Lepisosteus oculatus: one gene and its partner. The protein of the gene in region 1 purifies or fractionates together with the protein of each later gene. This does not show direct contact. Links are inferred from orthologs where the notes say so. Each region holds a gene or a part of one and is shown on either strand. Other genes may lie near its edges.

The links. Proteins that work in one complex are often made in the same cells at the same time.
Region 2: the proteins of pln1 (region 1) and sarcoplasmic/endoplasmic reticulum calcium ATPase 1 purify together in Homo sapiens (affinity purification with western blotting, with the first as the bait; 3 studies listed by BioGRID). This does not show direct contact. The link is inferred for Lepisosteus oculatus from reciprocal best matches to the Homo sapiens genes PLN and ATP2A1.

Annotation. Positions count from the first base shown.
Region 1 is NC_090697.1:647,130-654,914, reverse strand, and holds the start of pln1 (cardiac phospholamban), read right to left. Parts: upstream 3,012-7,785; 5' UTR 2,841-3,011; intron 2,653-2,840; exon of another isoform or gene 2,528-2,652; intron 1-2,527. UniProt on the Homo sapiens protein: Reversibly inhibits the activity of ATP2A2/SERCA2 in cardiac sarcoplasmic reticulum by decreasing the apparent affinity of the ATPase for Ca(2+).
Region 2 is NC_090699.1:1,559,868-1,567,230, reverse strand, and holds the start of sarcoplasmic/endoplasmic reticulum calcium ATPase 1, read right to left. Parts: upstream 3,049-7,363; 5' UTR 2,986-3,048; coding exon 2,868-2,985; intron 1-2,867. UniProt on the Homo sapiens protein: Key regulator of striated muscle performance by acting as the major Ca(2+) ATPase responsible for the reuptake of cytosolic Ca(2+) into the sarcoplasmic reticulum.

The sequences.
Region 1 (7,785 bases):
TAGTTTCTATTTGAACCAATCACTTGACAAACCCGATAAACATTTGTAGTGATGGATTCAGACTGAACAACCATAACCTGAATGCTGTAAGTTAGATAACTCATGAGGCGGCTTGTTTGTAAGGTTGTGCCGACAGTATCAAAACAGTGTTGTTGTGGACATTATATCCTTGACGTTGTTAAGAGCTTTGAGCAACTTGGGCTTCAGAACTCGGTCTGACTTTGAAAAGCAGGGAAGGCATCGACAAGCAAGACCGAGAATTTCCAATCAGTCAGCAGGAAGGCTTCTCATACAGTTGTAATTTAAGCGGTTTGTGACCACCACTCTCAGTAAGTTAAATAAATCTAATCTTTTTGATAATGTGCCTTACTACAGAACCATATTTGTCTCTTAATAACTAGTTTAAAATGACAAAATGCCTCATATACATGTGAATTTTAAATTAAGAACGTGTACAGTCCTTAAAAGCCAATTTATAACTGCTAATATAACAGTATAAAATTCATGTTAAACTTGTCAACTCAAAGCACTAAGTGCAGGTTAAACAAAAATTCACTGACAGAATGCTGTTTAGGCTTACATAATATTCTCAGTGCCAGGCGTTACTGGCTATAATATTTTCTACAATTTTAAAAAGTTAGAAATTCTGAATTTTTTCATGTAAAATATTTTTACAGGATTAGCAACAAGTACCTGTGATGATCAGGTGTTTGTAATAATCCTTAAATAATGCTGAATATGTTTTCAAGGATTGGTTCCCTTGAAATAGTAGCACTTTACTTTTAGGTTCATCAAAGACTAGACACAGAACCAACAACCAACATTTCCAGCATAACCTAAGAAGGAAATCTTCTAAAACCGAATGTAAATTCATAAACAAAATGAAGAAAGACCTTTTTTGGCTGATATCCCATGAAAATAAGTCATCTTAAGGCAGACAGTAACGTACGGCTGGCCGCAGTTGTGAGCTGTTGTTTCCATGATTGCATTAGTAAGTAATCTCTAGGGTCACTCTGCTTCATGCACTGAACTGACTGTCCTTTATCTTTAGAGTGTGACCTGCTAGGGAATTATCTCCCCCTCTCAAAGGAGATCACGCTGCAGGACTCCTGATGACGGTGAAGCCAAAAGAAATAAAAAGACCTGGCAATGCCAGCAATAGTGACATGGCTTTTTTATTGGCATTCGCTTTGAAACCTTTGTTAATCAAGTTTTTGTTCAAAATAGAGTTTCTTTAGATGTTATCTGTTCCCTATTGCATGTCGCATCATTCCAGTCTTTAGTTTCATACATAAAAGGGCCAGCGCAGTTTTCTGGGTAACATAATTTTCCAAATGTACTGCTGTGTATAAAGGACAATTGCAGAGGAACATACTGTAGCTTTCACAGCAGTGCATCTTTAACCTTTGCTTGCTTGAAGGGATCTTTTGTCTGAAATACAGACATCTGCATAAATGCAAATTCAAGAGAGACCACTGTGTCTTTGATGCAAATACAGATACTTTCATATTGAACTGTAACAGGACTAGTACAATGGTGTGGGTTTTCAGATTTGCTTTCTGCAAAATAGTTTTCTCTGTGGATCTTTATTTAATGCATGAGGCTGCAGTTACATATGGGAGGCAACAGCCTCAGAAATTTTTCACAACTTCTTATTTGCAACATATTATCGGCACTATTTTTTATCGCTATTCTTTTTAGGAGTTCTGTTTTGTTACAGACTTTATTGAAATTAGCTGTCGTTACAATGTTGTCTGAATGAATGAATGTCTATTTTAAATGGGTCAGTAAGTCTGTTCTTTTATATCATGAAAGTAATAAAAAATAAAATAAATATATTTTGTAAATAAAATGTGAAACACGTATGGTTTGTTATATAAACTATAATGCATTAATGTTGTAAAGTTAAAGCACGCAAGAATAAACATTCTGTTCGTATAGTTTTCGGATAGAAAATTAAAACCCAGTTCTCTAAAGGTTGTTCCTTTTGTATATTCTCATGGTTAGCCTTAAACATTTCATGATCCCCTTTACAGTTTCATAGCCTTCAGTTTAAATGCCATGCTTACTCTTAATATAAATATTTGTAGCTGCAGTTCATATTCAGACTGGTTTGACTCCACGTTTTTCGGTGATAATTAAGGAGCATCGGTTTTTGTTAATTCCTTGAAGAGACAAAGATTTGGAAAGCCTATCTTGGATGAACTGTGATTCACAAAGCTCTAGTTTGAATAATAAAAAAGGTTTTCCAGCTCATTAAATACAAAGTCCATATAATGTATTAAAATATATCTCGTTGACAGGGGAATTGCTATTTTTGGACAAATCCATTTAAAAGCATTTGCTTTGTTACATCATATGAAAGGTATGTGATGGTAAATGGAAATCTGATTAGTGTAATTGCAGCCATTTGTCTACCTGTAGATCTCCTAACAATACGTTTAACATTTTTAGCAAAATCCATGATCTTTTACAGAAATGTTTTGTTCTGAACAACTAGGTAATTTTATCGAAGGAGATCACTCACAATCTAGAGAGTCTTGATGAATATAAAATGTAACAGTGAGCTTCACCAGCATCGGTTATCCATCACCACTGACCTCTAATTGTTCCAGTAAGTGGTTGCTGGCCCAACGTCCAGTGTGTGTGGTTCTACAAATGAATAAGGAGAGGTTATATGACTTCAGTTATTAAGACCTTGATTTTTCAGTGTAAGCCTCTTGTGTCTCCAGAGGTATTCCCTGCTCTGTCCTGCATTTCCGTCTCTCAGCCGGAGGGACTGTGGGGCCACAAGCCCTGGCAGGCAGTACGTGTGGTGTGAGGAGGATGGCTTGTCTTACCTCCTGCTCTGGCCGACCGATCGCGGACACACAGCTCAGCGGACTGTGGGAAAGCGCCCTGGTCCAACAGACCCAGAGGTTCTCTGGCTGCTTGTCTGACTATGTCACAGAGTTTATGGGAACAGAACCAGGAGGCGGGGGAGAGCAGCGCCCCGAGTAAAGGAGGGGTTTTGCTGTTTATCCAGCCCCCTGGCAACACGGATTGGACACAGTCTGTCAGAGCTGGCAGCCAGCTCTGGCTCCAGGTGATCACAGAGGGACTCTTTCTCTCACGACCTGTTTGCTGTTGCCATACATACCTCATTTTAAGAGTCTGGTGCTATTTTCCTTTGGAACAGGATCAGTGCGTACTCAACCATTTGCATTTCATTTGGTATGATTGCTACTACTGCTAGGGTTAGCTCTGACAAAGAAGTTCAGATGTTGCCATGAGATCAAATAAGTTGTTCTACTGCTTTCTGTGAGAAAAGCACCTCAGGGCTTCTGTCCACCTGTTTTGAAAAAGTATAACTTAAGTACATTCAATGCAGTATCTTGATTTCACTTGTTATTATTTACAATAAAGTCAATCATTTAAATGCCTGAGTTCCAAAATAAAATTATCTTCTCCAGAAAAGTTTTTTCAGAAGCTAACAACTTGATCTGTTTTTTCTAACATTTATAATATTAATCTGTGCTTGAGTTCGTGAGTTTTTGGAAACGTAAGCAAAAGGGGTTCAACAGCCTGTCCTGGAGATGTATAATCTCCCTTTCACGGAATTTAGGTTTTTGCCTTAAATCAATTTCTTGGGGATGTAACCAAGAGCTAAATTAATTAAGCATATCTGTCTGTGTTTAAAGCAATACGTTTCAGTTATATGCTGCTGATAAAGCATTTTCAAAATATTTTTAGGATTATAAAAACTTTTAAAGGGTTAGCACTAAGACAACTATAACTTGTCACTAATGTTTGTGTTCGGCAGCAGTTCTTTCTGATACACAGTGATGTTACTGATATGAACTGTCTAACGTCAGGGAGTCCTGCCTGCCAAAAATCTAGTTACATAGAATGTAAAAATATCATCCTAAAAAGTATTTTGCATAAATCATAGAATATCTCATATCTTTGTATTTGACTATGGATGTACAGTATTATAGCCATTCTTCACTTTTGAAAACATGTTTTAATATTTCTGAAGCCTCTGTATTAGTTGTCAATCTTTGTAAACAACTAGCTCTGACGTGTCACTATCGGCCCTGAGTCTTTGTTATTCTAAATGTTAGACTAGAGCACATAGGAGATTGGTGTTGACCTGCTTGTGTCGACTTCAGTATTCCAGTGGGTTGGTAAAGTAAAAGGCCTCCCTCTCTGTGTTTCCCCTTTCTTGTAAATCAGTGTACATATGCAAACATGGTGCCAACAAACCTCTAGAGATTTTCAGTCACAAAGCTCTTAAGCAAAAGGAGTTTGCTATTCCAGCTTACACTTCCTTAGATGGAGTTTAGCTGGCCTCTCTTAAGTCAAAACAAGTTCCAAAATCACATTTTTAGAATGACTTGCTCGACGCACTTGGAGTAGAAGGGCAGAACTCAAACATGGGTACATAACAGGAGGATAAACTACTCTGTTTTCTCTGGCTAGAGCACTGCTGTTGTTGGCAGGCAGTGGTCTTTCGCATTGTCCCAGCTATGCTAACACACATGAGAGGAATTCTTTTTGCCGTCTTTATAATGGAAGACCAGTTGCATAATGTTCGAGCTACAATGAATGAGAAGGTGACAATTTAATGCAATGCGTAATCCGAGTTGCACACATTAAGTCCTAGAGCGTTGTCTTACAGTCCCCCCTTCGACTGAGAGCTGGTACATTACGAGTCTTGACAAGTGAGCTGCTCTAACTCCTGAAGCACCTCCACTGAACAATACTCATTCATTCTACAAAACCCTTATTGCCCCTTATTTTTATGTTTTCTAAGCATGATGTTTGTATTTGTTTTCAATTAAAGTGTGAAAAGGACCTTTTGCTTTGCAAAAAAAAAGACTTACAGTTAATGCTAAACAAGTACTTATACTAGAAGGAGGTTTGACTTGTTTTTACTGTACCTTACTTACCGTTAAAAAAAAAAGCCTTAAGAGTGTTTCTTATTGTGCCATTCAGACATGTTAATGATGTTCTGACTTTGCCCTGGTGTTATTTTAGACGTTTAAGTGACAAATGGTGAATAATGAGTTGTTTTACCACTGCTATTACTGTAATGAAGGTGCACGGCTAAGGCGATCTTGTATTGTATAGCTTTTAAATCATCACTGGATGCTCTTTAGAGTCCTCAGTCTCCCTCGCTCAGCTGACTCAGCTCAGGACGAGAGAGAGAACCCGCCAGCTGGATGAAATGATATTTTGCAACATGGTGTTAGGTGTTCGTTAAGCCATACGTTCTGTTTATTCCCAGGGAAACAATAATAAAACTAATACCAAATAAACACGCATATGCAGTATACACCTGTCACAGCTAATTAATAAAGTGGGTTAAAAACAGCTGTTCCAAAGGTTTTTAAGATGGGCAGTAGGCTTAAGCAAGGGAGATGCAAGCAGTTGTTTGAATAGCGGTAAAACATTAAAGATACTGTATGTAATTAAAATTGTATTTAATATATTGTAACATCTCTGGATTTAGTGGATTGTAATTACAATAGGTCTGGAGCTTGGTTTACATAGCTTTGTTTATTGTAATGTTCTGTGATTCACACTGCTCTGCTGTAACTGCAAGCCGTTATTAAAACTGGTTAGACCTAATTTCAGGCTAACTGATGGGTAATTTCAGTATTAAATAAAAGAAAAAATTGTTTTCACAGCTGAACGAGGGGTGCTACCCATGTCTTTACCTTTAGGATGTAATCACTCAGAATTCATTTCTTTCCATACAACTGCTTTTACCAACTTCAGTTTTCAGCCAGGATCTGAGGCTGCAAGGAGGCTTGTTAAAATAGCAATAATCTTGTCTCATCTTTTGTAGACATCAGTTAATCTAGCTCTGCAGTGTTTTCCATTGGAATTAATTTCCTCTTTGCAATAATAGCATTCGACAGCTCAAAGCATGGTATGTGAGGAAAGAAACAGGAAGAAATAGTTGGTTGCTCTGGTGTGTGTAGTAAGGCAAAGGAGATGCATCTTCAGCCCCTGGGTATAATGCGCCTGTGTTTGACTAAATTATTGAGATTAGTGCTGTGCACCAGTCATCCTAACACCTGCTGTGTCTTCTGTACCCAGGTCCCTGGTTATTTGTGGCTCTTCTGCTGTTTTCAGGGACAAGGCAGAGCTGTGCACGAAGTCTGTTTTATGTTCCAATCTGATAATGAGAGAGTGGCAGCTGAGCTCAGTCTGTGCTTGCTCTTGTTCTCGTTGGTATTTATGTAGTTAAGATAGGGCCTACTGTGGGAATTGCTTTCATCCTGATGGCTGAAAAAGCCCGTACTGCAGCAGGCTCTTCAGGATTCCCTTCTTCCTGGTTCCATTCCAAGAAAAGTTGTTCTGATAGGAAATGTGACCTGGACTTCTAACATTTGTGATATCTGATTATATCGATCCTTTGAAGGTGTAACTTTGGATACAGAATAAATCCGAGGTTTTAGCTTTAAGAGGAAACAGTGGGGAAAATGTAAATCCCTATAAATATTTCAGGAGTTCTGGTAAAGAAATCTTAGCAATTTAACACTCTTCTGATTATAACACCGAGACATTATACAGCAACAAAAAAAAACAGAAAATCCACAGATATAAAAAAAGTGTGTATCATAGCATTTACAATTCCACATGGCCATTTTGGTGAATCATGGCTGATTCCTTCATGCTTTAGCTAAATTTTCTGTTGATCTTGATCTTGTATAACTGAAATATATAATACAAGACACACAGTATATATATATAATACATATACAAGACGAGTATATAAACATATCCTTACATTTATACACATTTATATACATTGTATATAATTGTATTGTATATAAATTTGTATACATTTATACATATCCTTACATTATATTATGAGCAGCTAATGTTACATCTTATGTTTGAGTACTTCTTTGATTCTTCTACCAAACTGTTCTGAGTATGATGTGTGAGAAATCGACTTATTGGCAGCTTGTCTGCCTGAAACAGGAACTGTGTGCTGAAAAGCAGGTGTCTGGAGGATAGTAGTAGAAGAGTAGACAGAGATAACATTCTAGGAAATGCAAGGAGATTAGCTGTGTTATGTGACATGGTAAGAGCCATGTCTCAGTCTTGCCAGAAATTTTGTGAAATGAATTATTGAGCCTTATTGCAGCTTATAACCACATACCTTAAAATACAGGATTTGTGGGCATTCTCTGGACGTGTAATCTTTTCTTTATTTTTTTATAAATTATTTTATAATTTTATCTATGATTAGGTAGTTAGATGAAATGTTGGTATCTAACACATATTTCTAAAAAGCAAACCCTTGAGTGCTAAGAAAATGTTTAAAAGCAAAAACACTAAATGTTCAGAAGAGTTACAAGACAAACCTGGTGGCTATATCTATACATATTGCTGTATATTTTTCCTTGTAAGTCCCATGACAATGATTATTAGCAGCTCATCTAATCAGCGATCAGGAAATGGAAATTGCACTTCATGACTTTGGTAATGGATGAGTTTTGTGCTGTCAAAAGAGAAATTAAGTGAACTGAAATTAAGTTTTATATAGCTCCTTTCATCTCAAGTTGCTGTACAGAACAATACTAGTCAACATCTCTTGATGCTTAACACTGATGTGACCTGGTGTCAGAAGGTGTTTAGAGTGTTTTAGCACAGTGGAGTCTGAACACATCACAGTTTGTGCCCAAGAGGCATTGAGCTGACTCCCACAGATCACTCCTTCTGATCCAGAGCCACCTTACAACTTTCCTGGTTTGCTCCAGTGGCCTCTGATGATGGCTCCTCTGC
Region 2 (7,363 bases), on another chromosome or scaffold:
CAGCACTGATCTCTATTACTGTCCCCACACAGAGACACAGTTCTTTTACAGCACTGATCTCTATTACTGTCCCACACAGAGACACAGCTCTCCTACAGCACTGATCTCTATTACTGTCCCACACAGAGACACAGCTCTTTTACAGCACTGATCTCTATCGCTGTCAAACACAGAGACACAGCTCTTTTACAGCCCTGATCTCTATTACTGTCCCACACAGAGACACAGCTCTTTTACAGCCCTGATCTCTATTACTGTCCCACACAGAGACACAGTTCTTTTACAGCACTGATCTCTATTACTGTCCCACACAGAGACACAGCTCTCTTACAGCACTGATCTCTATTACTGTCCCACACAGAGACACAACTCTCCTACAGCACTGATCTCTATTACTGTCCCCACACAGAGACACAGCTCTCTTACAGCACTGATCTCTATTACTGTCCCACACTGAGACACAGCTCTCTTACAGCACTGATCTCTATTACTGTCCCACACAGAGACACAACTCTCTTACAGCACTGATCTCTATTACTGTCACACAGAGACACAGCTCTCTTACAGCACTGATCTCTATTACTGTCCCACACAGAGACACAGCTCTCTTACAGCACTGATCTCTATTACTGTCCCACACAGAGACACAGCTCTTTTACAGCACTGATCTCTATTACTGTCCCACACAGAGACACAACTCTCTTACAGCACTGATCTCTATTACTGTCACACAGAGACACAGCTCTCTTACAGCACTGATCTCTATTACTGTCCCACACAGAGACACAGCTCTCTTACAGCACTGATCTCTATTACTGTCCCACACAGAGACACAGCTCTCTTACAGCACTGATCTCTATTACTGTCCCACACAGAGACACAGCTCTCTTACAGCACTGATCTCTATTACTGTCCCACACAGAGACACAGCTCTCTTACAGCACTGATCTCTATTACTGTCACACATAGAGACACAGCTCTTTTACAGCACTGATCTCTATCGCTGTCAAACACAGAGACACAGCTCTTTAACAGCCCTGATCTCTATTACTGTCCCACACAGTGACGCAGCTCTCTTACAGCACTGATCTCTATTACTGTCCCACACAGACACAGCTCTCCTACAGCACTGATCTCTATTACAGTCCCCACACAGAGACACAGTTCTTTTACAGCACTGATCTCTATTACTGTCCCACACAGAGACACAGCTCTTTTACAGCACTGATCTCTATTACTGTCACACAGAGACACAGCTCTCCTACAGCACTGATCTCTATTACTGTCCCCACACAGAGACACAGTTCTTTTACAGCACTGATCTCTATTACTGTCCCACACAGAGACACAGCTCTCCTACAGCACTGATCTCTATTACTGTCCCACACAGAGACACAGCTCTTTTACAGCACTGATCTCTATCGCTGTCAAACACAGAGACACAGCTCTTTTACAGCCCTGATCTCTATTACTGTCCCACACAGAGACACAGCTCTTTTACAGCCCTGATCTCTATTACTGTCCCACACAGAGACACAGTTCTTTTACAGCACTGATCTCTATTACTGTCCCACACAGAGACACAGCTCTCTTACAGCACTGATCTCTATTACTGTCCCACACAGAGACACAACTCTCCTACAGCACTGATCTCTATTACTGTCCCCACACAGAGACACAGCTCTCTTACAGCACTGATCTCTATTACTGTCCCACACTGAGACACAGCTCTCTTACAGCACTGATCTCTATTACTGTCCCACACAGAGACACAACTCTCTTACAGCACTGATCTCTATTACTGTCACACAGAGACACAGCTCTCTTACAGCACTGATCTCTATTACTGTCCCACACAGAGACACAGCTCTCTTACAGCACTGATCTCTATTACTGTCCCACACAGAGACACAGCTCTTTTACAGCACTGATCTCTATTACTGTCCCACACAGAGACACAACTCTCTTACAGCACTGATCTCTGTTATTGTCACACAGAGACACAGCTCTTTTACAGGAACAGCTTTGTCTGTAATTCAGCAGTAATTCATCTCTAAGATGTTTTGAGAGAAGTTCCTTGCACCAGTTCAGGAGAAGTTCAGGAGAAATTGATTTTCATCAATCACAGTCACAGTCACAGAAATGGTTGTATTTTCCAAGTGAACATGCAGTCCCTGCCCGTCTCATCCCTCTCCCTACCTCTCCATCTTTCTCCCTCTATCCATCTCTCTCTCTGTTCCTGACCTGTCTCTCTCTCAGTCCCTGATCTGTCTCTCTCCCTGTTCCTGACCTGTCTCTCTCTCAGTACCTGATGTGTCTCTCTCTCTCTGTTCCTGACCTGTCTCTCTCTCAGTCCCCGATCTGTCTCTTTCTCTCCGTGTCCCTGACCCGTCTCTGTCTCTCTCTGCCCCAGACTCTGACCCGTCTCTCTCTCTCTCTCTATCCCCAGACTCTGACCCGTCTCTCTCTCTCTCTCTCTCTGCCCCAGACTCTGACCCGTCTCTCTCTGTCTCTCTCTCTCTGCCCCAGACTCTGACCCGTCTCTCTCTCTCTCTCTCTCTGCCCCAGGCCCTGACCCGTCTCTCCCTCTCTCTCTCTCTGCCCCAGACTCTGACCCGTCTCTCTCTCTCTCTGTCTCTCTCTCTCTGCCCCAGGCCCTGACCCGTCTCTGTCTCTCTCTCTCTGCCCCAGGCCCTGACCCGTCTCTCTCTCTCTCTATCCCCAGACTCTGACCCGTCTCTCTCTCTCTCTGCCCCAGACTCTGACCCGTCTCTCTCTCTCTCTCTCTCTCTGCCCCAGGCCCTGACCCGTCTCTGTCTCTCTCTCTCTGCCCCAGGCCCTGACCCGTCTCTGTCTCTGGGACTCACCGTTGAAACCGTACTTAGACAGGTTCTTCTTGACCTGCTCGGGGGACAGCCCCGTGTTCTCGTTCACCCCGAAGTACGCCAGGCACTCCTCGGTGGTCTTGCTGTGACCGTTGTCCATGCTGCTCCCTGTCTGTTCACGCACACACAGCGAGAAGCCAGGAGACAGAAAGTGCGAGGGCTCTGAGGGGCTGCGCGGCTCTTATACCAGCCCGGCGCGCGCGGCCCCCCCGCCGGCGCGCGCCATTGGCCGCGCGAGGGCAGAGGGGCCGGGCCGGGCCGGGACACAGGGATCGCGCCCCGATCTGTTTTTGGAAAGTGCCGCGTCAGGAGAACAGGGGGGACAGGAGAGCAGAGCGAGGAGGAGGGAGGAGGGAGGAGGGAGTGAGTGACAGGTCAAGTGTGTCTCTCCAGGAGAGGAGGAAGAGGGTCAGTACACACTGAGAGAGAGAGGGGTTAATACAGACACACTGAGAGAGAGAGGGGTTCATACAGACACACTGAGAGAGAGAGGGGTTCATACAGACACACTGAGAGAGAGGGGTTAATACAGACACACTGAGAGAGAGAGGGGTTCATACAGACACACTGAGAGAGAGAGAGGGGTTAATACACATTGAGAGAGAGGGGGTTAATACAGACACACTGAGAGAGAGGGAGATTGATACACAGTGAGAGAGAAGGGGGTTAATACACACACACTGACTGGACACTCCAGTACATTATCACTGCACAGAGAGAGAGAGGGGTTAATACAGACACACTGACTGGACACTAGAGTACATTAACACTGCACTGAGAGAGAGGGGTTTATACACACACTGACTGGACACTCCAGTACATTAACACTGCACTGAGAGAGAGGGGTTAATACAGACACACTGACTGGACACTCCAGTACATTAACACTACACTGAGAGAGAGAGAGGGGTTAATACAGACACACTGACTGGACACTCCAGTACATTAACACTACACTGAAAGAGAGAGAGGGGTTAATACACACCTGACTGGACACTCCAGTACATTAACACTGCACTGAGAGAGAGAGGGGTTAATAGACACACTGACTGGACACTCCAGTACATTAACACTACACTGAGAGAGAGAGAGGGGTTAATACACACCTGACTGGACACTCCAGTACATTAACACTGCACTGAGAGAGAGGGGTTAATACAGACACACTGACTGGACACTCCAGTACATTAACACTGCACTGAGAGAGAGAGGGGTTAATAGACACACTGACTGGACACTCCAGTACATAAACACTGCACTGAGAGAGGGGGGTTCATACAGACACACTGACTGGACACTCCAGTACATTAACACTGCACTGAGAGAGAGGGGTTAATACACACACACTGACTGGACACTCCAGTACATTAACACTGCACTGAGAGAGAGAGGGGTTAATACAGACACACTGACTGGACACTCCAGTACATTAACACTACACTGAGAGAGAGAGAGGGGTTAATACACACCTGACTGGACACTCCAGTACATTAACACTGCACTGAGAGAGAGGGGTTAATACAGACACACTGACTGGACACTCCAGTACATTAACACTGCACTGAGAGAGAGAGGGGTTAATACAGACACACTGACTGGACACTCCAGTACATTAACACTGCACTGAGAGAGAGAGAGGGGTTCATACAGACACACTGACTGGACACTCCAGTACATGAACACTGCACTGAGAGAGAGAGGGGTTCATACACACACACTGACTGGACACTCCAGTACATTAACACTGCACTGAGAGAGAGAGAGGGGTTCATACAGACACACTGACTGGACACTCCAGTCCATTAACTCTACAGTGTGCGAGGGACAGAGAAAGAGGGGGAGGGGCTCGTGTGGTATTTCAGCTGAAAGTTCACTTAAGCCTCCTTCAGCACAGAGGGTGGAATCTGAGATCGCAGGATGTGTGAATGTTACAATAGGCCTCCATGTGGCCCAGAGGGTGTACTGGCCTAAAACACAGACACTGAGCTCTCCAGTGAGCCTGTACTCCAGGTGTGTGTCTGTCTCTGTACAGTGAGTCTGTACTCCAGGTGTGTGTCTGTCTCTATACAGTGAGCCTGTACTCCAGGTGTGTGTGTGTGTGTCTATACAGTGAGTCTGGACTCCAGGTGTGTGTGTCTATACAGTGAGTCTGTACTCCAGATGTGTGTGTCTATACAGTGAGTCTGTACTCCAGGTGTGTGTGTGAGTGTGTGTCTATACAGTAAGTCTGTACTCCAGGGGTGTGTGTGTGTGTCTATACAGTGAGTCTGTACTCCAGGTGTGTGTCTGTCTCTATACAGTGAGTCTGTACTCCAGGTGTGTGTGTGTTTCTATACACTGAGTCTGTACTCCAGGTGTGTGTGTGTGTCTATACAGTGTGTCTGTACTCCAGGTGTGTGTGTGTGTGTCTATACAGTGAGTCTGTACTCCAGGTGTGTGTCTGTCTCTATACAGTGAGCCTGTACTCCAGGTGTGTGTGTGTGTCTATACAGTGAGTCTGTACTCCAGGTGTGTGTGTGTGTCTATACAGTGAGTCTGTACTCCAGGTGTGTGTCTGTCTCTATACAGTGAGTCTGTACTCCAGGGGTGTGTGTGTGTCTCTATACAGTGAGTCTGTACTCCAGGTGTGTGTGTGTGTGTCTATACAGTGAGTCTGTACTCCAGGTGTGTGTGTGTGTCTATACAGTGAGTCTGTACTCCAGGTGTGTGTGTCTATACAGTGAGTCTGTACTCCAGGTGTGTGTGTGTGTCTATACAGTGAGTCTGTACTCCAGGTGTGTGTGTCTATACAGTGAGTCTGTACTCCAGGTGTGTGTGTGTCTATACAGTGAGTCTGTACTCCAGGTGTGTGTGTGTGTGTGTCTATACAGTGAGTCTGTACTCCAGGTGTGTGTCTGTCTCTATACAGTGAGTCTGTACTCCAGGGGTGTGTGTGTCTATACAGTGAGTCTGTACTCCAGGTGTGTGTGTGTGTGTGTCTATACACTGAGTCTGTACTCCAGGTGTGTGTGTGTGTGTATGTCTACACAGTGAGTCTGTACTCCAGGTGTGTGTGTGTGTATATGTCTACACAGTGAGTCTGTACTCCAGGTGTGTGTGTGTGTGTGTGTGTGTGTGTCTATACAGTGAGTCTGTACTCCAGGTGTGTGTGTGTCTATACACTGAGTCTGTACTCCAGGTGTGTGTGTCTATACAGTGAGTCTGTACTCCAGGTGTGTGTGTGTGTCTATACAGTGAGTCCGTACTCCAGGTGTGTGTGTGTGTGTGTGTGTCTATACACTGAGTCTGTACTCCAGGTGTGTGTGTCTATACAGTGAGTCTGTACTCCAGGTGTGTGTGTGTGTCTATACAGTGAGTCCGTACTCCAGGTGTGTGTGTGTGTGTCTATACAGTGTGTCTGTACTCCAGGTGTGTTTGTGTGTCTATACAGTGAGTCTGTACTCCAGGTGTGTGTGTCTATACAGTGAGTCTGTACTCCAGGTGTGTGTGTGTGTCTATACAGTGTGTGTGTGTGTGTGTGCTCCAGGTGTGTGTATATGTGTCTATACAGTGAGTCTGTACTCCAGGTGTGTGTGTGTGTCTATACAGTGTGTCTGTACTCCAGGTGTGTGTGTGTGTGTCTGTACAGTGTGTCTGTACTCCAGGTGTGTGTGTGTGTTTCTATACACTGAGTCTGTACTCCTGGTGTGTTTGTTTATACAGTGAGTCTGTACTCCAGGTGTGTGTGTGTGTCTATACAGTGAGTCTGTACTCCTGGTGTGTTTGTTTATACAGTGAGTCTGTACTCCAGGTGTGTGTGTGTGTCTATACAGTGAGTCTGTACTCCAGGGGTGTGTGTGTCTATAAAGTGGGTCTGTACTCCAGGTGTGTGTGTGTGTCTGTACAGTGAGTCTGTACTCCAGGTGTGTGTGTGTGTTTCTATACACTGAGTCTGTACTCCTGGTGTGTTTGTTTATACAGTGTGTCTGAATTGTAGCTTTGTGTGTGTCTGTAAATTGTCTCTATTTCTCAATGTCTGTGTGTGTTATTTGATCCATGTTTCCTTCGCTGTGCTGTATACAAGTGACCTCTGACCTTTCAGGTCACAGTGTCATGCTGTCAACATGTTCCTCAGGGACACAAATTGACATTTAACTCAACATTGAAGACAGATTGAATTACTGCCCCTCTCTCTCAGTGTGTCAGATGTACTGAAACTTGTGTGTCGTGTACATAATGTTAATGTACTGGAGTGTCCAGTCAGTGTGTCTGTATTAACCCCTCTCTCTCTCAGTGCAGTGTTAATGTACTGGAGTGTCCAGTCAGTGTGTCTGTAATAACCCCTCTCTCTCTCAGTGTAGTGTTAATGTACTGGAGTGTCTAGTCAGTGTTTCTGTATTAACCCCTCTCTCTCTCAGTGCAGTGTTAATGTACTGGAGTGTCCAGTCAGTGTGTGTGTATGAACCCCTCTCTCTCTCAGTGTAGTGTTAATGTACTGG